Linked DNA regions of Anolis sagrei. The protein of the gene in region 1 purifies or fractionates together with the protein of each later gene. This does not show direct contact. Links are inferred from orthologs where the notes say so. Each region holds a gene or a part of one and is shown on either strand. Other genes may lie near its edges.

Region 1 (12,061 bases):
ACATTTGCATGTTTTGAACTGCTAGGTTGACAGAAGCCGGGCCTAACAGCAAGAACACACCCCACTCCCGGATTCAAACCGCCAACCTTCCAGTCAGCAAGTTCAGCAGCTCAGCTGTTTAACCTGCTGCGCCACCAGGAGGCCCTATATACTTATGTATAAGTCTAGAAATTTTAGTCAAAACAATCAGCCCCCAAATCCTGGTTCAAGTTATTCACAGGTCAGCGCTAGCAGTTATATAAAAAAGAACTATTCCCTCCTAGGAAAACCTAAAAGAAACACTGACTGCATCTTCTCTTTCTGCTGTGAAAATGCTTCTTACCCTTTTGAATGTATGGGCAAGGAGATGCTGGTTTATCCACAGATCATATCAAAATCCATAATTTTGGACCCAAAATCTGCCCTTGACTTATACATGAGGTTGATTTATAAATGAGTGTACATGTTACTACTGCAATTTAATCCTCTTTGGTAGAAGAATCCAGATGGCTAGCACAATACACAGACTTCCCCAGGCCCATTGATTCCATAGTATATTACATATTTTATATTAAATGTAATATTACTAATAATATTACAGTATAATGTTATAGTACAGTGTAATATATAATATTAATATTGTGCTATGATAATAATATAATATATTGTATTTACTTTTTACTTGTAAGCCGCTCTGAGTCCCCTTTGGGGTGAGAAGGGCGGCATATAAATGTCGTAAATAAATAAATAATAGTGTGGGAAGGAGAATGCTTACCTGTGAAAGTTCAACTTCTCGGACCCTGAAAGCATCATCCACTTGTTCAGCTGAAAGTAACTGAGACACTGTACAAGGAATAATACTTTGTGATCTTGTCCTCTGTAATCAGGAAATATAAAAACTCAAAATCTTTACTTCCTCTATCAAAAGAACACATAGTCTAGAACAGGTTTTAAATCAATTTAAAAGAGAAGCAGAAGAAAAATGACACAAGAATATCAGAAATACTGTATTTTTAATAATCATCACTGGACAAGATGCAACCAAGTGATCCACACAACAATTAACTAAAGCTGTAGAGAATTCCTGAATGAGAACTAAAGATAAGCCCTTATGATTTGAAATGGCACCACTCCTTTCTATGAGGGTTTCTTAAAAAAACAACAACAACAACCACATTCTTAAGATATACAGCAAGGTGTTAGGATTTGTAAATATTAGATTACTATTGTGCATAGATCCAAAGCCAGATAATCAAATAATCATATTCATCAATCCAGGGCCAATTCCAACTGTACTGCACAGATAATTATGCTGGGCCAAGAGGGAAGCGGCTGACCGAATCCCACTAGAAGGGAGTTCCATAGTCGAGGGGCCACCACTGAAAAGGTCCTGCCTCTCGTCCCTACCAGTTGCACCTACAAAGGTGGTGGGACAGAGAGCAGCCATTATATTCATCCTGCTGCCGATGTCCACACTACTGGAAAAATTTTCCACAAAGCACTGCATGAGTCACAAAAACAAATATGCTTTTGATTTGATATATCTTAGAATTTAAAAAAATCCAATCAGACAGAAGAAACAAAAAGTGGCAGCTATTGCCAGAACATGCCAGCAAATAATCCAGGATAACAAAAAAAAGCTATGTCAATATTTTTGTAAAATTATGAGAACTACGTAAGTTTCAGAAACATTTATCCCATCTGTTTTCTTCCAGTCACCCTTAACAATTAACTCTGAAAACAAATAATACTAATGTGTTGTGCTCAGTGGAATAACACAAACATGTTATTCCGTAAAAGGAATTATTTTTATGCCTCAACATCTTATAAGGCCATGCTTTCAGAAAAAAAGAAAACTATTTCAAAGGAAAACCTCCATTCCCATTTCGAAAAGAAGTCCTGGCTTTTTCATGCAAGCTAATAATAATAACAACAATTTTATTTTTATACCCCACCTCAATCTGCCCGAAGGGACTTGGGGCGGCGTAAACATAGGACAAAATGTCCACAAAACATCAAAACAAAACAATCCATTAAAACAAAAAACACGATTAAAATAAAACATAGCAAAGCATAACAATCAGATAAAAACACAATTAAGTAAAACATTAAGGTATGAAACAACAGCATTAAGACTCGTTCAAAAAATGAATGACAAAAAACGATAACTAAAAATACTGAGATGGACCTGATCAGGCTATAAAAAGGACTGGGCATGGGATAGTGCAAAACAGCATAGCATAAGGTCGGGGATTGGGAAAAGTGCCGAGAACAGAGTACTATCTGGAGAACTAGGGACTGGGCATTTATAAGTAGAGACTAGTCATTCCCAAATGCTTGTTGGAACATCCAGGTTTTCAGATCCCTATGAAAGGAGGACAGTGTAGGGGCTTGCCTAATCTCCCTGGGGAGGGTGTTCCAAAGTTGTGGGGTCACCACCAAGAAGGCCCTCTCCCTCATCGCCACCAACTGTGCATGTGAAAATGGTGGGAGCAAGTGGAGGGCTTCCCCAATGGATCTAAGGACCCACACCAGTTCATGGGGGAGATGCAGTCACAAAGATAGGTGCTTTGTAGGTCATAACCTGCACCTTGAAACCTACCGATTTCTTTTCATCTTGTGTCGCAGAAGGGGATGCAAAGCCTCCAGGCGATTGTGTATATCCTCCTCCTCCCCCATATGCACTGTCATAGCCACCTGAAATTCAAAAGATAAAAATAATAGGGCAAAGCTGCAAAGTTACTTTCATACTTCTCAGTCTCTGGGGTTTAAGAGTAGGGAGCAAATTGGAAATAGATCAGAAACAGGTTAAAGTGTATCCATCAGTACCAACTGCACATTCTGACAGATGGCAGATGGGTGCAGGCCAGATGTCACACTTCCACCTGCGACATCAAGAGCTGGGCAAAGGAATTCAGTTATTAATTGAAATATTTATAGCATGCCCTCTGTACAGAAATCTCAGGTGGCAGGCAAGAAAAACAACACACAAATGTAAATATACATGCTAAAATTATTTATTAACTTACAATTATGTTACGTGAGTAACAGGTTTTTAAGTGATTTTACCATGTTTTTTTTTAAAGTCCGGTTATTTCTATTTTATTGCTTCTGTGGGTTTTAATTGTATGATTTGTAATTTTAGGCACTTTGAGTCTCCATTAGGAAATAAATAACCTTCTCTTCTGCAGGCTAAAATACCTAGCTCTCCAAGACACTCCTCATAGGGATTCATGGTCTCCAGATCTTCAATCATTTTAGTCACCCTCCTTCCAACTTGTCAATATCTCTTTTAAACTGTGGTGACCAGAACACAGTATTCCAGGTGAAGTCTGACCAAAGCAGAATAGAGAAGCACCATGACTTCCCTCGATCTGGGCACTAAATGTGATCAAAGTACTTCATCTCTGCCTCTAATAGATTCCCTCCAATGAGTAGTCGGGCTTTATTTCCTGAAGTGTGGACTGGTTGGGTCTTCTCAGGGTCCAAGACACTCTCAGGACTTTCCTCCAGCACCACAGTTCAAAAACATCTATCTTCCTTCGCTCGGTCTTCCTCACTATGCGGATCTTTGTTGCCAGTGTGATGTCTTTACTCTTCACTACTTTATCGAGATTGGTCATTGCTCTCCTCCCAATAAGTAAATGTCTTTGGATTTCCTGGCTGCAGTCTGCATCTGCAGTAATCTTTGCACCTAGAAATACAAAGTCTGTCACTGCCTGTTATGGTAATTTTGAATTCTGATCCTGTCCTCTGGAGTATTGGCTATCTCTCCTAATTTGGTGTCATTTGGAAACTTGATAAGCATGCCCTCTAAACCAGGCATGGGCAAACTTGTGCCCTCCCTCCAAGTGTTTTGGACTTTAACTCCCACCATTCCTAACAGCCTCAGGCCCCTTCCTTTTCCCTCTCAGCCGCTTAAAGGATGCCTTGCTCTGACCAATTCCCAGCAAAATGTCCTCAGAAGCACCTTAACTACCCATTGGGTTGATCTCCTACATTATCCTTTAAAACCCTTCTGCTTAGAGACATCCTACCTCTGTTCGCGTAGTGTTTATTTTAAAATTTTAATCTATTTATGGCCATACATTTTTAATTTTTTGTGTTATTGCTTATATGTGAGTTATATTAATTGTACTGTTTTATTTGCTTGCTGTCTTGTTTTACTGATGTGTTGTTGGGCTTGGCCTCATGTAAGCCGCCCCGAGTCCCCTTGGGGAGATGGGAGGGGATATATATAAAGTTTTATTATTACTATTAAGTCCAAAGCACCTGGAGGGCCCAAGTTGGCCCAGGCCTGTCATAGAATCATAGTATAATAGTTATACATGCCTGCTGTAAGAGTCTTTTCAAAAACTAAAATTCCCAGAAGGCCCCAAATCACAGTATTTTGCTCTGAAAAGAGCACAAGGAGAAGCCACCCCTCCACCAGGCCTAAGACCTCAAGCAGGCCCTTCAATGGAGGGGCACTCCATCCTCCCGACATCTAGGCCTCAAGCCTTTGAGGGCTTCAACTATTTCCCTTGAGTTCAGACATGTTCAAAGAAGCCCCCTCCCCCCCTCCTCCTCCTCCTCCTCCCCCCCCACAGCCTTCCCTTGCTTCGGCCCCGCTTTCCCTCCTCTCGGCTCCCTCACCGGTCCCGGCCCACATCCCGCGACGATGAAGAAAGTCCGCGACACGCAGCAATGGCAACCTTGTCCCACCGGCAAAAGAAAATCAGCGGGCTCCCCTGGCGCATGCGCTCCTTCTTCAGCAAGGCGCGCGCAAAAAGCAGCGCTCGGGATAGGCCAGCTACAGGCCCCGCCCCTACCGCGAGCCGCCAATCAGCTTCTTCATAAGGTAGGCCTTGCAAACTTGGGCCTTCCAAGTGTTTTGGACTAACTCCCACCATTCCTAACAGACTCAGGCCCTCAGGAAGGGTCCTGAGTCTGTTAGGAATGGTGGGAGTTGAAGTCCAAAAACACCTGGAACGCCCAAGTTTGCCCGTGCCTGTTATAATTGGTTATTAGTTCCGTCACAATGGAGGGCTGATGGCTCAGCCTCCTTTGATTCTTTCTCCTGAGGGGCTTGTGTTGGACATCAGTCCCCATTATCCCCAGGCAGCGCAGAAGATGGCTAGTTCTCCCAATGAGCTTCTTCCTGAGCAGCACTGCAATGCCCTACTGGCCGTTCTCTTTGCCTCCCTCCAGTGGACACAACGAGAACAGCACCCTTGGTAGAAGCGCCTTTTGCGGCTCCAATGTGGGGTTTTGGCGCCATCTTGTGGGCGCGTCACGAAATTGCATCCTTTTACAGTTCAGCCATCGGGTTTTTGTTGTCTTTGTGCTGTCGCGCGCTGGGCCTGTGCATATGACTGTAGTTGTTGTTGTTCATTCGTTCAGTCGTCTCCAACTCTTCGTGACCTCATGGACCAGCCCACGCCAGAGCTCCCTGTCAGCCGTCACCACCCCCAGCTCCTTCAAGGTCAGTCCAGTCACTTCAAGGATGCCATCCATCCATCTTGCCCTTGGTCGGCCCCTCTTCCTTTTGCCTTCCACCTTCCCCAGCATAATTGTCTTCTCCAGGCTTTGCTGTCTCCTCATGATGTGGCCAAAGTACTTCAACTTTGTCTCTAGTATCCTTCCCTCCAGTGAGCAGCCGGGCTTTATTTCCTGGAGGATGGACTGGTTGGATCTTCTCGCAGTCCAAGGCACTCTCAGAACTTTCCTCCAGCACCACAGCTCAAAAGCATCGATCTTCCTTCGCTCAGCCTTCCCTAAGGTCCAGCTCTCACATCCGTAGGTGACTACAGGGAATACCATGGCTTTGACTAGGCGGATCTTTGTTGCCAGTCTGATGTCTCTACTCTTCACTATTTTATCGAGATTGGACATTGCTCTCCTCCCAAGAAGTAAGCGTCTTCTGATTTCCTGGCCACAGTCTGCATCTGCAGTCATCTTTGCATCTAGAAATACAAAGTCTGCCACGGCCTCCACATTTTCTCCCTCTATTTCCCAGTTGTCAATCATTCTTGTTGCCATAATCTTGTTTTTTTTAATGTTTAGCTGCAACCCAGCTTTTGCACTTTCCTCTTTCACCTTGATTAGAAGGCTCCTCAGCTCCTCCTCGCTTTCGGCCATCAGAGTGGTGTCATCTGCATATGACTGTAGACAGGACATAAATTCTGTGTGCCCAACGGGACGCCGGGGCTGCCTCAGATTAAAGGCCCTTGGACCCCCCCAAAGTTCTGTAGAGGCTTAAAGTAAGTCCAACAAAGTTATTTATTGATAAAAAACAAACAGGTACTTAAAAGTTTTCATAACAGTCTATAGGCTCTTGCAATCTTGTTCACTGGGAACAGGCACTATCTTCATAACTATATAATAACTAATGGGGAAATCCTTAACTTCCAATCTGGGCAGTCTGTCTTTGCCTCTGTTGGCATGGAGCCCCTGCACCCGGTACCAACTGCATCTGGCTTCCACAAGCGACCCTTGCCCCAACAGAGCTTTGTAGACTTCCAGGGGAAAAGAAGGAATTCAGGTTGCTGTGATGGCTGGCTGAAGTCCCTCAGCAAAGGAGCTGAAAGGCTGTATGATCCTCGGCCAAGCTGTGGGCTGTATAACCCTGGCCAAGCTGTAGGCTGTATATCTCCCCGGCCAAGCCGTAGAAGATGAAGCTTTCTACAGGAGCTCTTCGTTTTATGTCCTGTGCGAAAGGCTTCTCTGTGAGAACTGACTCAAAAAGGCTCCTATTCCCTCCAAAACTCAAAAAGGGGCAGGACCAGGGAACCTAACAATAATTGACAGGTGGCTTGCCCTATGATTGCAGCCAAAAGAAGCCACCTATCTGCAGAGTCCCTGAAACTTGGGACTATAACAAACATTCAATGCAAAGCAAACAAAATGGGAGCTTCTGGTACAGCTGTACTGGCACAGTCTTATTGATAATGTTATATGTTTATGTTTTATTTTAATTGCTTGTATTGTTGTGATTATTGCTTGTATTGTTGTGTTTGGGCTCGGCATGTAAGCCGCACCGAGTCCCTTGGGGAGATGGTAGCAGGGTACAAATAAAGTGTTGTTATTATTATTATTATTATTATTATTATTATTATAGGGAGGCTAGTAGGCTTCTCCATGCAGTCATGCCAGCCACATGACCTTGGAGGTGTCTATGGACAATGCCAGCTCTTCAGCTTAGACATGGAAATGAGCACCCCACCCCAGAGTCGGACACAACTGGACTTCATGTCAAGGGAAAACCTTGACCTTTTGGTAAGCTTCTAAGAGATCTGTGGCAGTGTTTCTCATCCTGGGGGTCGCGAGGAGGGTGTCAGAGGGGTCGCCAAAGACCATCAGGAGACAGTATTTTCTCTTGGTCATGGGGGTTCTGTGTGGGAAGTTTGGTTCAATTCCATCATTGGTGGAGTTCAGAATGCTCTTTGATTGTAGGTGAACTATAAATCCCAGCAACTATTTATTTATTTATTTATTTATTTCTTGCATTTGTTAACCGCCGCTCTCAGCCCTAGGGCGACTCGCGGCGGTGTACAGTACAAAAAGGACACTTTACAAAGGAATCAGAACAACAATTAACATCACTAATACATAACATCTAACTTACACTAAAAATCCGCTCCGTCATATTTATGGAATCATAGTCAATCTCGTAGTCATAGTTCAATCCGGTTGTCATTACCCGTAACGTAGCATTTAGTTGAAAGCCTGCTCGAAGAGCCAAGTCTTCAGGCCCTTACGAAAGGCCATGAGGGAGGGGGCCTGTCTGATGTTAGCAGGGAGGGAGTTCCACAGCCGGGGGGCCACCACCGAGAAGGCCCGCTCTCTCGTCCCCGCCAGACGTGCCTGTGAGGCAGGCGGGATCGAGAGAAGGGCCTCCCCAGATGATCTCAAGGTCCTCGTGGGCTCGTAGGCCGAGATGCGGTCCGCAAGGTATTTTGGGCCGGAACCGTTTAGGGCTTTGTAGGATAACACCAGCACCTTAAATTGGGCCCGGTAGCAAATCGGCAGCCAGTGGAGCTGGAACAACAAGGGCGTTGTATGCTCCCTGCGTCCTGCTCCTGTTAACAACATGGCTGCCGCGCGCTGGACTAGCTGCAGCTTCCGGGCCGTCTTCAAGGGCAGCCCCACGTAGAGAGCGTTGCAGTAGTCAAGACGGGATGTGACCAGAGCATGTACCACCGTGGCCAAGTCAGACTTCCCAAGGTACGGGCGCAGATGGCGCACAAGCCGAAGCTGTGCAAATGCTCCCCTGGTCACCGCTGAAACCTGGGGGTCCAGGCTCAACGATGAGTCCAGGGTTACACCCAAGCTGCGAACCTGCGCCTTCAAGGGGAGTGCGACCCCATCCAGCACAGGCTGTAACCCTATACCCTGCTCGGCCTTGCGACTGACCAGGAGTACCTCTGTCTTGTCTGGATTTAATTTCAGTTTGTTCGCCCTCATCCAGACCATTACAGCGGCCAGGCACCGGTTCAGGACTTCGACAGCCTCCTTAGTAGCAGGTGGAAAGGAGTGACAGAGCTGGACATCATCTGTGTACAGATGACACCGCACCCCGAAACTCCGGATGATCTCACCCAGCGGCTTCATGTAGATATTAAACAGCATGGGGGACAGGATAGAACCCTGAGGAACCCCACAGGTCAAAGGCTGTGGAGTTGAACAGGAGTCCCCCAATAACACCTTCTGGGTCCGTCCCTCCAGGAATGACTGGAGCCACTGCAGAGCAGTGCCCCCAAGACCCACTCCCGCAAGGCGCCCCAGAAGGATACCGTGGTCGACGGTATCGAAGGCCGCTGAGAGGTCCAGGAGCACCAACAGGGACACACTCCCCCTGTCTAGCTCCCGGCGCAGATCATCCACTAAGGCGACCAAGACCGTCTCGGTACCATGTCCCGGTCTGAAACCAGACTGTGCCGGATCCAGATAATCCGTGTCTCTCAAGAGTACCTGGAGTTGTGAAGCCACAACGCTTTCCATGACTTTGCCCAAAAAGGGAAGATTGGAAACAGGCCGAAAGTTGTCAAATTTAGTGGGGTCCAGTGATGGTTTCTTCAACAGCGGCTTTATAATAGCCTGTTTTAGGCTCGCTGGAATCTTGCCTTCCCGAAGGGAGGCATTAACCACCACCGTTACCCACTCAGCCAATCCCCCTCTGGCCTCCCTCAGAAGCCAGGATGGGCAGGGGTCTAGGATGGACGTGGTGGGCCTCATTCCTCCAAGTATCTTGTCCACATCCTCGGGCTTCACAAACTGAAAAGAATCCATCAAAATAGGACAAGCAGGCGCTCGTGTCACATCCACAGAGACTGCATTTAATGTGGTGTCCAGCCCAGAACGGATCAAAGCGACTTTGTCTGCAAAGAACCGAGCAAATGCTTCACAGCGCGTGGCCGAATTGTCAGGGCTCCCACCTGCGGTGGTGGGAGTCAAAAGACCTCTGACAATCCGAAACAACTCCGCCGGACGGTTTTTTGCAGACGCAATAGTGGCCGCAAAGAAAGTTTTCTTTGCGGCTTTTATTGCCGCGGCATATGCCCTTAAAAAGGACACAAACCGTGCTCGATTTGGCTCGCTTGGGTCTGAGCGCCACACGCTCTCTAGTTCCCTCTTCCTTCGCTTCATCGCTGCCAACTCCTCAGTGAACCAAGGAGATGGTTTAGCTCGGTTACTTGAGAGGGGACGTTCCGGAGCGATCATGTCAATTGCCCTGGCCATCTCCCCATTCCAGAGAGCGACCAAGGCCTCGACATGGTCACCTACCGAGGTGGCGGGAAAGTCCCCAAGAGCCGTCAGGAATCCATTCGGATCCATAAGCCTCCTGGGGCGGACCATCTTAATGGGTCCTCCACCTTTGCGGAGGTTAGGGGGCGCAGTGAGTCTAAATCTGATCAGGAAGTGGTCAGTCCACGGCAACGGAGAGATGGACAACTCCTCCACACCGCCACCCTGCTCCCATCCCTGGCAGAAAACCAAGTCCAATGTATGTCCAGCACAGTGGGTGGGGCCAGTTATTTGTTGGGACAGCCCCATGGTTGCCATGGCGGACATGAAGTCCTGAGCCGCTCCTGTGAGGGTCGCCTCGGCATGGATGTTGAAGTCCCCCAGCACAAGAAGCCGTTGGGACTCCAACGCCAGGCTCGAGACCACCCCCGCTAGCTCAGGTAGGGAGACTGTAGTGCAGCGAGGTGGACGGTACACTAACAGAATCCCTATTCTGTCCCGGTCACCCACCCTCAGGTGGACGCATTCAAAATTTGTGGTCTGCGGGATGGGGCTCCTGGTCAGATGGATGGAATCTCTATAGATCACTGCGACCCCGCCTCCCCGTCCTCCGGATCTCGGTTGGTGCTGTACGGAGAAGCCTGGAGGACAAAGCTGGGTCAGATTTACACCTCCAGCTTCATCCAACCAGGTCTCCGTAATGCACGCCAGATCTGCCCGCTCCTCCAGGATTAGGTCCTGAATCCAGGTCGTTTTTCCATTGACAGATCTGGCGTTCAGCAGCACCACCTTCAATCCCGAGGGCCCGCTCACCTGGTTACACCAATTTACCTTAGGAGACCGGTTGGGAATTGTTAATTTAGATAAGCGGTCCGAATTAGGCCGAATTCGAGGTCTCCTTCTTCCGCATCTCCTCCTTCCCACCACGACCTCTATGGGGGCCCCTCGGCTAGTGGAACACCTCCCCCCCTCCATGCCGCGATCTAATATCAAGGACTTAATTCCTGCTTCATCAGCTGTATGATTTGTTGGATCCTGCCAACACCCTTTCTCCCCTTCCTCCCTCCTCCCGGCCCCATTGGGCTCCAGCCCACCTCCTCCCCTGACCTTTCCGCTAACTAGTAGTAACAGGGACAGTACTACCAGGGGGGTGGGGGGGCCACATGGATGACAATAGCTTCAGATGGTAGAGGCGTTTCAGCCACACCCGTTAGATAGTTTGTAAAGTGCGAGAGTGCAAGAGTCTTAAGTGCGACACAGTCAGTAGTACCACTCGGTTGACAACACACTGCGTTCCGTTCGGCACATACATAAAGTGCAAGATCTAAAGTGCAGTAGGTACCTGAAACTGGGTCTCAGCATTCACTAAGGTGCGGCATAGAGGGATAGGGAAGGGGGCGTAAGTGCAAGTGGTGTTTAGCAGCAAGTGGCAGGCGCCCTAAAGTGCTGTTGTGTTCTTATATCAACTAGCAGCGGGGACAACCAAGGAGTGTGATATGATAGTAGTATATAGTCACACTCTTACGAGGATAATGGTAATAACAATTAAATAAAATTATTATGATTCAGGTGTACCTCTAGACGGTTGGTCTAAGAGCGGATGGGACATCCGGAGGTGGTATACACAGCGGCGGTCAGCGCCGTTGGTCTATTGTGTATCTATCAATCCAAAGGGGGCCAGCTCAAGGGTCTACACAATATTAAGGCCGGCACAAGAGGTCTACACAGTGTTAAGGCCAGCACAAAGGTCTACACAATATTAGGCCGGCACAAGAGGTTTACACAATATTAAGGTCTACACAATATTAAGCCAGCACAGAGGTCTACACAATATTCGGCCGGCACAGGGGATCTACACAGTATTAGGCCAGCACAGGATGTTTGCACAGTATTAAGGCCAGCTCACGAGGTCTACACATTAATTGAGGTCAGCACAAGAGGTCTATACAAGTCCAGGCACATACAAGTTCTACACAAAATTAGTTAACACGGCAACACAGTCGCTGTTAGCTGGTGGCAAAGGCGAATTCCAGCCGCTGTGACAAGGTGGTGAGCCGAATGGTGATGGCTGCGATGGGAGGCGGCAGCAATAGCGAGGCAGCCCGGTCGCTGCAGCGGTAGCAATAGGGCGGCGGTAGCGATGGTGAGGCGAGGCGTCACAAAGGCGGCTGCAACAGCGGCGCTCCCGTGCCCCGGCTCGGCCCAGCGGCTCCGCGGTGGTCCGGCTGCGGTGGTCCGGCTGCGGGAGGGCGGTGGCGATGGAGAGGCGAGATGCCAGAAATGGCGGCCGCAGCAGCTGCGACGCGCTCCGCGCTCTGTTTCAACCCAGCGGCTCAGAAAAGGCCCGGCAGCAGCG
Region 2 (12,201 bases), on another chromosome or scaffold:
AATAAATAAAATAAATAATCTAAATTACTTAGAAATTATAAATTATTTGCATTCACCATTGATAATCTAAAGAAGAGAGAATAGCATTTCTGTCAACTCAGAATATGTATCATTCAGTAACAGAGAACCTGCTGTTTTGAAACTGCTTGAATGTAATTCTGTTGTACAAGTTATCAGACACTTTTGCTAAAACCTCAGAGAATGATAAGAAACATTAACTTACTGATGTAATCAATGTATTTTTAGAGCACTGCCACACAACAGCTGCTCATTTTCATGTAGCTGATCAAGACTATTGCTTCCCCGAACAAAAGGGAAAGCAGTTACTGGAAGCTGCCTCCATTTGCTAACAAAAGTATAAATTGAAAGGATTACACTAGATACCAAAGAAGAAGAAAGCTTATCAACAGGACTGGCAAGGAAAAAAAGTTCAAAGTGTTTACCCCTGTCCTCAAATTTTATTTTAGATTAAGGACAAAAGAAAACAACACACAATTAGAATATTGTTATTTGATTTAAATAAATAGAAAAATGTTAGCATTTTAATGTTCAGTTCCATTCCTAATGATTTCAAACATGAAAGCTGCATTTTTGATTCACACCGAACCCATGTTCATGTAGAATGCATTTATTATTATTATTATTATTATTATTTTGCATATTTCTACCCCGCCTTTCTCAACCCCCGAGGGGGGACTCAGGGCAGCTTACAAAAGGCACAATTCAATGCCTACACAAACAATAAAAATAAAACATATATAAACAGCAATTAAAACAATTATAAACAATTAAAACAATCAATTATACATCACAATCAATAAAATATTTCTTGTTTAATTAAAACAAGTAGTAATTATGATTACTATAAATTTATTAGTTTAATTAACTTTACATTTATTAATATACCAGTAACTCATTTGCAGGTTCCAAAACTTGTCCGCTTTGCATAGTCATTGGCAGCAAAGCATGGTAGCGCATATAAAATTTTACAAGTGGGTTGTGGCCACATTTATATAGAGTCTATTAAACCTGAATTGTTTCTTACATGTATTTTTGCTTTTTTATTCTTATGTAACATATTTTCTTAATTAAGAATTATAAACATATCTCTTAAACAAGTGCTAAGATGAGAAACCAGAAAGATCTGGCAAATAAGGCCTCCGTTGATGATTTTACACACACGCAAATTCCGAAGCTCCTTGAATAATTACTTGGGCCATTTCCCAGAAGTAATAAAAGCTGTTTGCAGAATATTTATGATGAAGGGACTATGATATCCGTAATTACACTTGCTTCCCTTTTACTCATTCTTTCAGTAACCACTAGTCTGATGGGAAATATGGTACTCTTTAAAGCAGTTGTCATTAGATGCATTACTTAGGAGAGGAATACAGCACTATTTTAAATGAAGGCCTTATGAAAGTCATTAATTGAAATTATGGTTTCACTGAAGCTTTTCCCTCTCATTTTTCTCATAGCTCAGAACTGAAGTCGTCTTAGGCCATACGCAAGACTTTACCACACAGGTTGTGAATCTTTTAGGGAAACACAACTTGTGACATTATCACACCAGGGCTTTAGTGCGGACTGCCCCGCATTTCTATCACCTGCAGAATTCTGGGAAATGTAGTTTAGGGTGGAGCCTTTTGGATTCTCAGCTACAGTGGTCCTCACCTTCCCAAACTACATTTCCCAGAATTCTGCAGGTGGCAGAAATGCCGGGTTGCCCGCTTTAAAGACCTGGTGTGATAATATGGTTTGTCTTGCCAATTTGCTGCTTGTGGGACACCTGAATCTTGATAATCTACATTTCTTGCCTGGTTGAGTGTTACAGAATATATAACAGCTATCTAGGATTTTTCTTTGGCTGCAAAAGAATTAAGGTCACAGTCAATTTAGAACTGATTAACTACCAAGAAAAGAAGGCATAATTTAAGTATTCAGTTTAAACTAAGTTTTATTTTGTAATGCATAATTTTCTGAACAAATATAGGCATCCCTCACTTTTTAATTGTCTTCTCTTTCAAACCTTTTCAGTAATAACTGGAATTTATTAATTTACAGTGTGGTTCACTTTTTTGGTCACATGGAAAATTAATGAGTTTAGGTTACCTATAATTCAAAAAGTTCAAAGGAACAGAGGTGTGTGTGTGTGGGGGGGGGGTCTTTCCTGGGATAATCCTCCTTTTTGTGAAACACTCTCCTGCTACCTAGGAAATAGTCTGAAATAGGCTGGAGCCACTTTCCACTGCTTTTTGGGGAACTGCCTATCAGGTAAAGGCAAAGTTGCTGCTATTGTTTAATACTCAGATGGTGCAGCATGATTCACTGTGCGTCCATCCACAGTTGTTTGTGATGGGCCCAGCTGCTATACGGGATTTCACTCTGGAGTATAAAGAAAAATGGAGTAGGTCCCTCATTGGAAATACATTCCTTGGTCACATCTACAGACTACATGTGAAACCAGCAGAGATGGAAGCAGTTTTTGGTGTGCGGATGTAGAAAATCCTAATATTGCTTCAAGGCCTAAGTGGTGCTTATCAAATTGATTCCAGAATCTGCAATGTCTGCAGCTTGACAACTGGGGAGAATCTAAGATTTTTTAAAATTCGGCCCTCCCTAATTGCATATGTGCAGACTGCCAAAGAACTTCACAAGTGCACATTATGAAAGAGCGAGTTAAAAATTACGCCCACACGTGCTGACACACATTATGGGCTATATTTCAGAGTATCCTGCAACTTTATCTCAGTTTAAAGCCCTTAAAGTGCACTGCAGGGCTTAATCGTGGTGTGCATCATATAAACACTGAGCTGTCAGGCTGCCTTTGAAGTGCATTCAAAGATTAGTTTGAATGTGCCCCATAGGGCTTCCTGGAGGGGAAGCTGTACTTGGAAAGATTTGCTGGGGATGCCAGTCATTACATGTCATTTTCCTTGCCTAATGCTGTCCAGTAACTGTGGCTACTACTGCACTTAAAACTGAACACAAAAGATGTCACTTTGTTTGACTCTCTTGCAACCATGTCCTGCTTTCATTTTAACAATTTCCCTTTGGGAAGGACCAGCACAGTGTTGTGGTTTGGGCTCTGGACTACTGGGTCCAAATCCCAGCTCAATAAAACGCATTGGATGACCTTGGGCAACCTTCTCTCTCAGCCTCAGAGGAAGGCCATCGCAAACCTTTCTGCACTAACACTGCCGACAATATGCTGTGGAGTTTGCTTTAGAGTTATGACAAAGCTGGAAGCTCTGCAAGGTTTGCTGCTGCCAATACCACATGTATCCCTTTATAACTTTTACGGCTTGACTGAATAAAAGGCACATGTGGAAAATGTTAAGGCTCAGGGTGCCTTCACAGCACCCAATTATAGCGCTATGACCCCACTGTAACTGTCATGGGGTGCATCTACACTGTGGAATTAATGCAGTCTGACACCACTTTAATGCTATGGCACCTTGGGATTTGTAGTCTGGTGTGGTATCAGTCCCCTTTGGCAAAGAAGACTAATGTCATTGCAAAATGACAACTCCCATGATTCCATAACGTGGTTGTTCCAGTGTGCCTTCCCAGAATAGGAAACTCCTAGCATTATGTCCCAACACACTTTATCAGAGATCTAGGATATCTGCATGCCCATCCCCCTCCAAAACACTCCACCTGGTCATGCCCAGCACTTTTAATTTTAATTATTACATTTGGCACTGCCATTGTTTTTAATTGTGTCATTGTGTGTTGTCAATGTTATTGCTTTGTTTTCTGAGTTATTTTGCTGTCTGTTGTTGCTGTTGTTTTTACTATTGTATTTGGGCTCGGTCTCTTGTAAGCCACACCGAGTCCTTCGGGAGATGGTAGCGGGGTACAAATAAAGGATTATTATTATTATTATTATTATTATTATTATTATTATAACATAGAGTCATGGCAGTTAAAGTGGTGTCAAACTACACTTATGGCTGCATCCTACAGAATCCTGTGATGATGATGATAAAGATAGAACTGCAAAGACTCTGGCACAAGCCAGTAAAGGTGGTCCCAGTGATGATCAGCACACTGGGTGCCTAAAGACCTTGGCCTGCATTTAAAAACAATCAGGACTGACAGAATTACCAGCTGTCAGCTGCAAAAGGTCACCCAACTTGGATCTGCACACATTATTTGCTGATACATCACACTGTCCTAGACACTTGGGAAGTGTCTGGTGTGTTATCAAATACAAAAACCAGCACAGTGATCTTGTTTGCTGTGTACTAATCTTGTCGTGTATCAAATAATAACAACAACAATAATAATAATAATAACAACAATGCAATGACACTAGAGCTCCCTGACTGGGAATTCAAAGTGGCCCTTCCGAAATTAGAGGTCCTAAGATGGAACCGTGGCAGTTAAATGCGATGACATAGTTTTAACTTTATAACAATAATAATACTTTATTTATAACCCACACTATCTCAAGGAGCTTTGAAGCTTGAAAGGGCCCCATGTTGGAAATGACAACTTTCTTCAAGCCTTCTCTAATAATGTATTGTCGAAGGCTTTCATGGCTGGAATCACTCAGTTCTTGTGGGTTTTTTCGGGCTATATGGCCATGTTCTAGAGGCATTTCTCCTGACGTTTCGCCTGCATCTATGGCTCACCTCTGAGGATGCTTGCCATAGATGCAGGCAAAACGTCAGGAGAAATGCCTCTAGAACATGGCCATATAGCCCGAAAAAACCCCACAAGAACTGAGCTTCTCTAATAATGTTTATCTATGATCCTGTTGCTTATTGTTTCCTGTATATATGTTCTGGTGTGCAGCTTCCTTTACTCTCTAGTTCCTTAGAAGACTTCAGACGTCGGATCACACACTTGCATGCTGTTTTGCTGTAACAGATGTCCTGGCTCCAGATGGCAAAGAGAATTATCTCAATCATATCTGAAACTGGACTGATAAGTTGTGTAGCTGTGTATGCTGAACATATGAAGGCCGTAAGTAAACCAACTATGTTATTTTTTATCCAAGTCTACTTCATTTTTGTCTCTTGAGTTCATGATATAAACAAGTTGCTTTATGGGACAGTATATATGTATATATATACACTAGGCAATGGTTTCAGTTGTTAGACTGAATAACCTGTTACCTCTGATCTGTTAGGAAAACAGAGATCTGCCAGTGCATAAAAAAGCAGTGCTTCAGAAGTGTTTTTCAGTGTCCTTTTTATGCACTGGCAAATCTCTGTTTTCCTAACAGATCAGAGGTAACAGGTTATTCAGTCTAACAACTGAAACCATTGCCTAGTATAATTACACCTGGTTGTATATCACAAGAGAAGATTCTACTCTAAAGAGTTTTTGGCTCTTCTGGGAATGGTCATGCTTTCCTTAAAAAGTTTTAATCTCCAAAAGGTTATGAATGCCATTTTCCAAAAGCCCAAGCCTTTCCCCACTGAATTCGAGCCTAAATGTAGGTGTAATGTCCTCTTCTCCGTTACCTGAGCGGGAGAGACGGGCTGAGAGAACGGGGAGGGAACCCTCGCTGCCTCCTTCTTTTGAAAGCCTTAGTCAGAGATGACGGGTACGGCGAGCTAGATTGGACAAACTTCCCGCGGGTGCTCACCGACGCTTGCGCAGAAACGTCTCCTCGCCCTCCAATGGGAAAGGGGGGGAAGATGGCATAGGAACCCGAGACGTGTCAGGAGGCCGAGAAAGGCGGGAAGACGCCTCCTATTGGTCAGAGCGGACCAATGAGGGCGCTTCTGAAAAAATGATTGGCAGGCTCAGTGGATGAGGAATAGAAGGGGGGGAGAAGGAAAGGATACGTCAGCCGAAACGTGGAGGTAGGTGAATAGCATAAGTCTGGAGTGAAGCGGTCGAGCGGTGGGAGGGAGGGAGGGAGGGAGAGCGGAGGAGGAGGGAGGAAAGAAAGGGGGAGGAGCTTCGAGCGCGAGACGCGTGCCTGGGCCAGGCTCGCGCCGAAGGGGGCGGGGCTACGGTCGGTCTCTCGGGCCGAAGGAAGGGAGGAGGAGGAGGAGGAGGAGGGGGGCGGGGCCTGGCTCTTGGAGGGAGGAAGGGAAGAAAAGGGGAGGAGCTTCGAGCGGGAGGCGCGCGCCTGGGCCAGGCACGCGCCGAATAGAGGAGAGAGGAAGGGGAGGGGGAGGAGGAAGGTAAAAAAGAGGGAGGAGCTTCGCGTAGGAGGCGTGTGCCTGGGCCAGGCTCGCGCCGAAGAGGGGCGGGGCTACGGCCGGTCTCTCGCGCCGAAGGGAGGGAGGGAGAAGGGGGCCTGGCTCGAGGAGGGAGGGAGGAAAGGGGAGGAGCTTCGAGCGAAAGTCGCGCGGCTTGGCCAGGCTCGCGCCGAAGGGAGGAGGGGGCGGGGCCTGGCTCAGGGAGGGAGAGAGGTAAGGAAGGGGGAGGAGCTTCGAGCTGCAGGCGCGCGCCTGGGCCAGGCTCGCGCCGAAGGGGGGCGGGGCTACGGTCGGTCTCTCGCACCGAAGGGAGGGAGGAGGAGGAGGGGGCGGGGCCTGGCTCGTGGAGGGAGGGAGGAAGGGAAGAAAAGGGGAGGGGCTTCGAGCGGGAGGCGCGCGCCTGGCTCAGGCTCGCGCCGAACGGGGGCGGGGCTACGGTCGGTCTCTCGCACCGAAGGAAGGGAGGGAGGAGGGGGCGGGGCCTGGCTCGTGGAGGAAGGGAAGAAAGGGGGAGGGGCTTCGAGCGGGAGGCGCGCGCCTGGGCCGAAGGGGGGCGGGGCTACGGTCGGTCTCTCGCGCCGACGGAAGGAAGGCAGGGAAGGAGGAGGAGGAGGGGGCGGGGCCTGGCTGGTCTCGCGCCGCCGCCGGGGGCCAGGGCGCGAGCGGCTCTCTCTCTCTGAGGTAAAAGGAGGAGCCTCTCCGCCGCTCGGATCGAAAGGAAGGGAAGCCGCGCCTGCTTGGAGAGCTACAGCTGGCCGGGGGCAGGAGGTAGGCTGTTAGCCGCTGGGCCTTCTGTGTGGCTTCGAAGCTGAGGCAAGGGGAAGGGAAGGGGGTCGGGCGGGGCCTTGCCTGGCCAGCTGGAGCCAGGCCCTCTCCTGCCCCAAGGCCTCCCTCCCTCTCTCTCTCTCCATGGAGGCCACACTCAAGGGGGAGTCCTCTTAATATCGCCTTTCCTTGAAGGGGAGCCCTTCTCTTCTCCTCCCCCCTTCCTTTCCTCATAATCTCTCTGCCTCTTCCTTTCCCTGCGCCCCACCCGGTTGCCAGGCATGGCTTCCTGGAATACATCATCTACCTGCCTCTTTTCCTCGGCTCTTCTCCCCCCCTCTCTGTTTTCACAAAAAGCCATTTTGCTTCAGATAGATATTCTGGCGCTCCATCCTCCCTCCTTCTCCAAAGCCTACTCCTCGTTTTAGAAACCATTATTGAGACACAATACTTTTAGGGGCACAAACCTGTTTTACTGGGGTTTTGTTGTTGTTTTTTATAGTCTAATCATTCTCAATTCTGGGAAACCATGGGAGCTTTCTGCCTGCCGCTAACAATCAATTGGTGTGAGAATATGCCTTGCTTTTCATACATTAAGGCAGGTATGAAATGTGTCAGGAGGCCGAGAAAGGCGGGACGATGCCTCCTATTGGTCAGAGACAGGGCCTTTTCTGTGGTGGCCCCTCGGCTATGGAATTCCCTCCCAAATGAAATTAGATCTGCCCCCTCTCTCCTGACCTTTAGGAAGCTAGTGGTACCTGGCTGTGCAACAAAGCTTTTGTGGAACGATGTCTCACACCGGCAATCAACTAATGGTACTTTTTTTTTTTGGTCATGTCAGGAGTGACTTGAGAAACTGCAAGTTGCTTCTGGTGTGAGAGAATTGGCCGTCTGCAAGGACGTTGCCCAGGGGACGCCCGGATGAATTGATGTTTTTATCATCCTTGTGGGAGGCTTCTCTCATGCCCCCACATGAGGAGCTGGAGCTGATAGAGGGAGCTCATCCGCCTCTCCCCAGATTCGAACCTAATGGTACTGATCACAATATATGGACTGGACATACGGACTGAGTTGGACACGATTTTATCTTTGCGAAAGGCTTTTATGTAATTTATGTAATATGTAATTGGTAACTTAATGTTGTGTATCATGTTTTAGATTTTCAGTTTTAGCATTGAATCATTGCTGTTAGGCGGTCCGAGTCCCTCTGCAGAGGTAGAGAAGATCGGGATATAATTTTTTTAAATAAATAAATAAGGGCAAACTTGGTCCCTCCAGGTGTTTTGGACTTCAACTCCCACCATTCCTAACAGCCTCCCTGAGAGGGAAAAGGAAGGAGCCTGAGGCTATTAGGAATGGTTCGAGTTGAAGTCCAAAACACCTGGAGGGATCAAGTTTGCCCATGCCTGCTCTAGCTACATCATCACAATAGAGAATGAATTCACTTTAAATCCGATTTCTGCCTCCTGCAGAATTCTGGAGTTTGTAGTTTAGTAAGGCTGTTAAAGGTGCCTCCTTAAACTACAAACCCCAGAATTCTGCAGGAGGCACCATCTGGATTTAAAGTGGAGTGACTTTGGGGCATATGAATGTTCACATCTGAGAAGTTGCTGTGTTGAGTTTAGCTTCAATAAATGTTCCTCCCATACCTTACAAATTAGAGAGACGATTGGCCAACACTAACGTTATGAAGTTCAATAGTGACAAATGCAAGATGCTCCACTTAGGAAGAAAAAAATGAAATGTAAAGATACAGAATGGGGGTTACCTGGCTCGAAAGAGCAGTACGTGTGAAAAAGATCTTAGAGTCCTCGTGAATAACATGAGCCAACAATGTCATGCGGCGGCAAAAAAAAGCCAAAGGGATTTTGGCCTGTAAAATAGGAGTATAGTGTCTAGATCCAGGGAAAAGTCATGCTACCCCTCTATTCTGCCTTGGTTAGACCACACCTGGAATACTGTGTCCAATTCCAGAGATGTTGACAAGCTGGAATGTGTCCAGGGGAGGGTGATTAAAATGATCAGGGATCTGGAGAACAGGCCTTATGAAGAGCTGCTTAAAGAGCTGGTCATGTTTAGCCTGCAGAAGAGGAGGCTGAGAGGAGACATCATGGTCATGTACAAATATGTGAGAGGAAGTCATGGTGAGGAGGGAGCAAGCTTGTTTTCTGCTGCCCTGGAGACTAGGACATGGAACAATGGCTTCAAGCTACTGGAAAGGAGATTCCACATGAACATTAGGAAGAACTTCGGAACAGTGAGAGTTGTTCAGCAGTGGAACTCTCTGCCTTGGAGTGTGGTGGAGGCTACTTCTTTGGAAGCTTTTAAGCATATGGATGGCCATCTGTCGGGTGCTTTGAATGCGATTTTCCAGCTCCTTGGCAGGGGTTGGACTGGAAGGCCCATGAGGTCTCTTTCAACTCTGTGATTCTATGAAATTGGCACATGGATGACAAGCATGTAGGAAGCAGTCTTGCTGGTATGGAGGGGAGCATTTACTGATTAGATATTCTTTGAGATAGTGGATAGGGCGAGGAAGAATGCTGTGCAATGGTTTTATCTTTCATAATTCCGTTTTGTCCTTAATTCTGATTGGATTATGAAACTGCCTTGTTCTGGTAATTCTTTCTAATGGAATGGGGTGGCCGTCATGCTGTGAAACTAACTGAAATATTAATTTGCAGCCTTGGATTTTGACAGTCAGCTTTGGTAATTTCTAGGATTTTTTTTTTAATCTCAGGGTAGTAACCTTGGGGAAAGTGCTGTGGTGAGGCCTTGAACTATTGCTAGCTAGAGTGCATAATTCCCCAACTGGGTGCACTGGGCTGTATCATGCTTTCAAAAATACGTATTCCTAGTTGCAGAAAGATATTATTTTCATCTCCATTCTCAACCCATCCTCAGTCAAAAATTGGTCTTGGGTTTAATTCAGTTTTGTATAGTTTAGACTCCCACAATTCCCAATAGCCGGTAGGAATTGCTGTAAGGTCGCCCTGAGTCCCCTTATAGGGTGAGAGGGGCAGGATACAAGTATGTGATATAAATAAGTCCAAAACACTTGGAGGGCCCAAGTTTGGCTGTGCCTGGTTTAGATGGAGCAAAAAGGGAAAAAAAACAACTAAAATGATCTCAATTATGTATTTTAAATAATTTATATCATGTTTTGATGCAGTCTCTTTCCATATTGGTTTGCAATAGGTAAATTGTTTCATATAGTATGATCCCTTTATCCACAGATTCAGTATTTAATATTTAGTATTGCCCTCCTAGTTCTCTGGTCAGATTCGATTATTTCCTTTTGGCCCAAGTATAGTCAAAATATATGCTTCATTATCCACAGTTTCAGTTGCCCACAGGGTTGATGGCCTTATTCCCATCAGATACAAAGATCATATAGTACTTAATGAAAACTTGTATCATGCACAGTTGATCCTGTGCTTCTAAATTCCTTACATCTCACTTGGGAGGGCTTCTGTTCCAGGACTCATTTACCGTTCCTTTAGCCACTCCTCTCTGATTCATTATGCTGTGCTTATTCCTGAAAGTCATTCCTTGATTATGCCTTCCTCTACTCTGATTACATGATTCTTCATTAATTGTCCAGCACCGCAGATCTGACTTGAAGATTTGAATTCTTCAGATGTGCTATATGACCAAAATCTTTAGAGCATATGTCTCTAATGTCAACATAATTTTAGAACATATATTTAATTTTATTGTATACATCTTGAACAGTTTTCCTGTTCTATTAATGAATTGGTAGTGTGCAGCAAACCTTTATTTCTAGCAAAAGAATGATGCATGTTAAATTTATAATATATAAGTGACACATACAAAAGGAAAAAAACGATTTGAAGGAAAGAATGTTAGAGCAGTTAGGGAAAAGTGCTGAGCTTTACGTTTTAAAAAGTATTGCTCTTTTTTTTTGTATTAGCTGTGTCCATGCTGTGCATGGACATTTTTAGGAAGGGTGGTCGTATTTGTAGTCCATCATATCTGGGCACCAGGTTTGGGGAATCTTATTTATGGAGTTGTGAAACCTGGAATTGTGATGTTAGAACAGACAGTACAGCAGATGCTGTTAAAATAATGAAGTAAGAAATAGCTAGATTAAGAGAATGAAATAAGAGCATTACAAAACAAAAGAATCCTGTATGTTTAGTAAAATGTAAAGAATTGTAGTGTTATATCATTATTTGTGCAGACAATAAGCTATCCAGTAATTACTTTATCAACATTATAAAGTGATTGATTCCTATCACTAAGTGAAATTCTTCAACTTGAGTGCAATATATAAATCTTAACTTTCAGTTTCCAGGACAGATACTAGAAAGTGCTGCTTGACCTCCAAAGTTCCCCATTTTTTAAAGTTGCTCTCTTTTTTCACATATGTTGTGTCTGAAATGGTTTGAGAGAGTCTTGTGGAAGAAAGCACAATTTTCTTAGTGTCTTTAGTTTCCGGTAATTCAGGATAAGGTTCCCTTAGAACTGGTTACAATAGGATGATGGTGCAATAGAATGGAAAGGCTGTCTTGCCATTGCATGTAAGAGGCTCCTGGGTACTGGTGAATGTGTCTTCAGCAGTTAGCATTACCAGTTTTTCCACTGTATGTGGTGAGAAAAAGTGTGCCTTCAAGTCACTTCTGACTTATGGCAAATCTCAGGCAAACCCATCATGGGATGTTCTTGGTAAGATTTGTTCAGGGCACTTTTGCCAATACCATCACTATATCTTTTTAATTGTTCACTAGTTTAATAGATGGTGAGAATGCTGTGAAATTCCTTTGTGTGGATTTCAGCACAGCATTTGATAAGATCCCTCATAATATTTTTGTTCGCTACTAACAAAACAAGAATTAGATGGAGAGAATATGACATAGCTCAGTAATTAGTTGGAAAATTGAGTTGTCACTAGTGGCCGTCCTTCATATTTTCAGATCTTAAAATGAGGTGCTGTAGGGCCAATGCTCTTCAATATTTTTAATCAATGATTTAGATGTTGGGGTAGAGGAAACCATTACTAGATTTTTAGATAATCATCTTTCTTGGGTACCACAGTCAGTTCTGGGTGCTTTATTTTAAGAATAATATACAGTAGACAAGTCAGACCAGGTTCAGAGAAGAGCAAAAAGGATGATAAGAGTCAGGGAGAACTAAACATCCAGGAAAAAGTTGAAGTACTTGGACTTGTTTGGCTTGATTTTACTGGAGAGTGATATGATTGTACCCTTTGAATACCAGAAGGGCTGCTACAAAGAAGAGGATGTTA

What was found.
Region 2: the proteins of RPA2 (region 1) and RAD52 purify together in Homo sapiens (affinity purification with western blotting; 3 studies listed by BioGRID and IntAct, with this or other methods). This does not show direct contact. The link is inferred for Anolis sagrei from reciprocal best matches to the Homo sapiens genes RPA2 and RAD52.

What each region holds. Positions count from the first base shown.
Region 1 is NC_090034.1:86,978,867-86,990,927, forward strand, and holds the start of RPA2 (replication protein A 32 kDa subunit), read right to left. Parts: upstream 4,720-12,061; 5' UTR 4,631-4,719; coding exon 4,615-4,630; intron 2,677-4,614; coding exon 2,582-2,676; intron 857-2,581; coding exon 755-856; intron 1-754. UniProt on the Homo sapiens protein: As part of the heterotrimeric replication protein A complex (RPA/RP-A), binds and stabilizes single-stranded DNA intermediates that form during DNA replication or upon DNA stress.
Region 2 is NC_090025.1:178,593,262-178,605,462, forward strand, and holds the start of RAD52 (DNA repair protein RAD52 homolog), read right to left. Parts: upstream 5,664-12,201; 5' UTR 5,478-5,663; intron 1-5,477. UniProt on the Homo sapiens protein: Involved in double-stranded break repair. Plays a central role in genetic recombination and DNA repair by promoting the annealing of complementary single-stranded DNA and by stimulation of the RAD51 recombinase.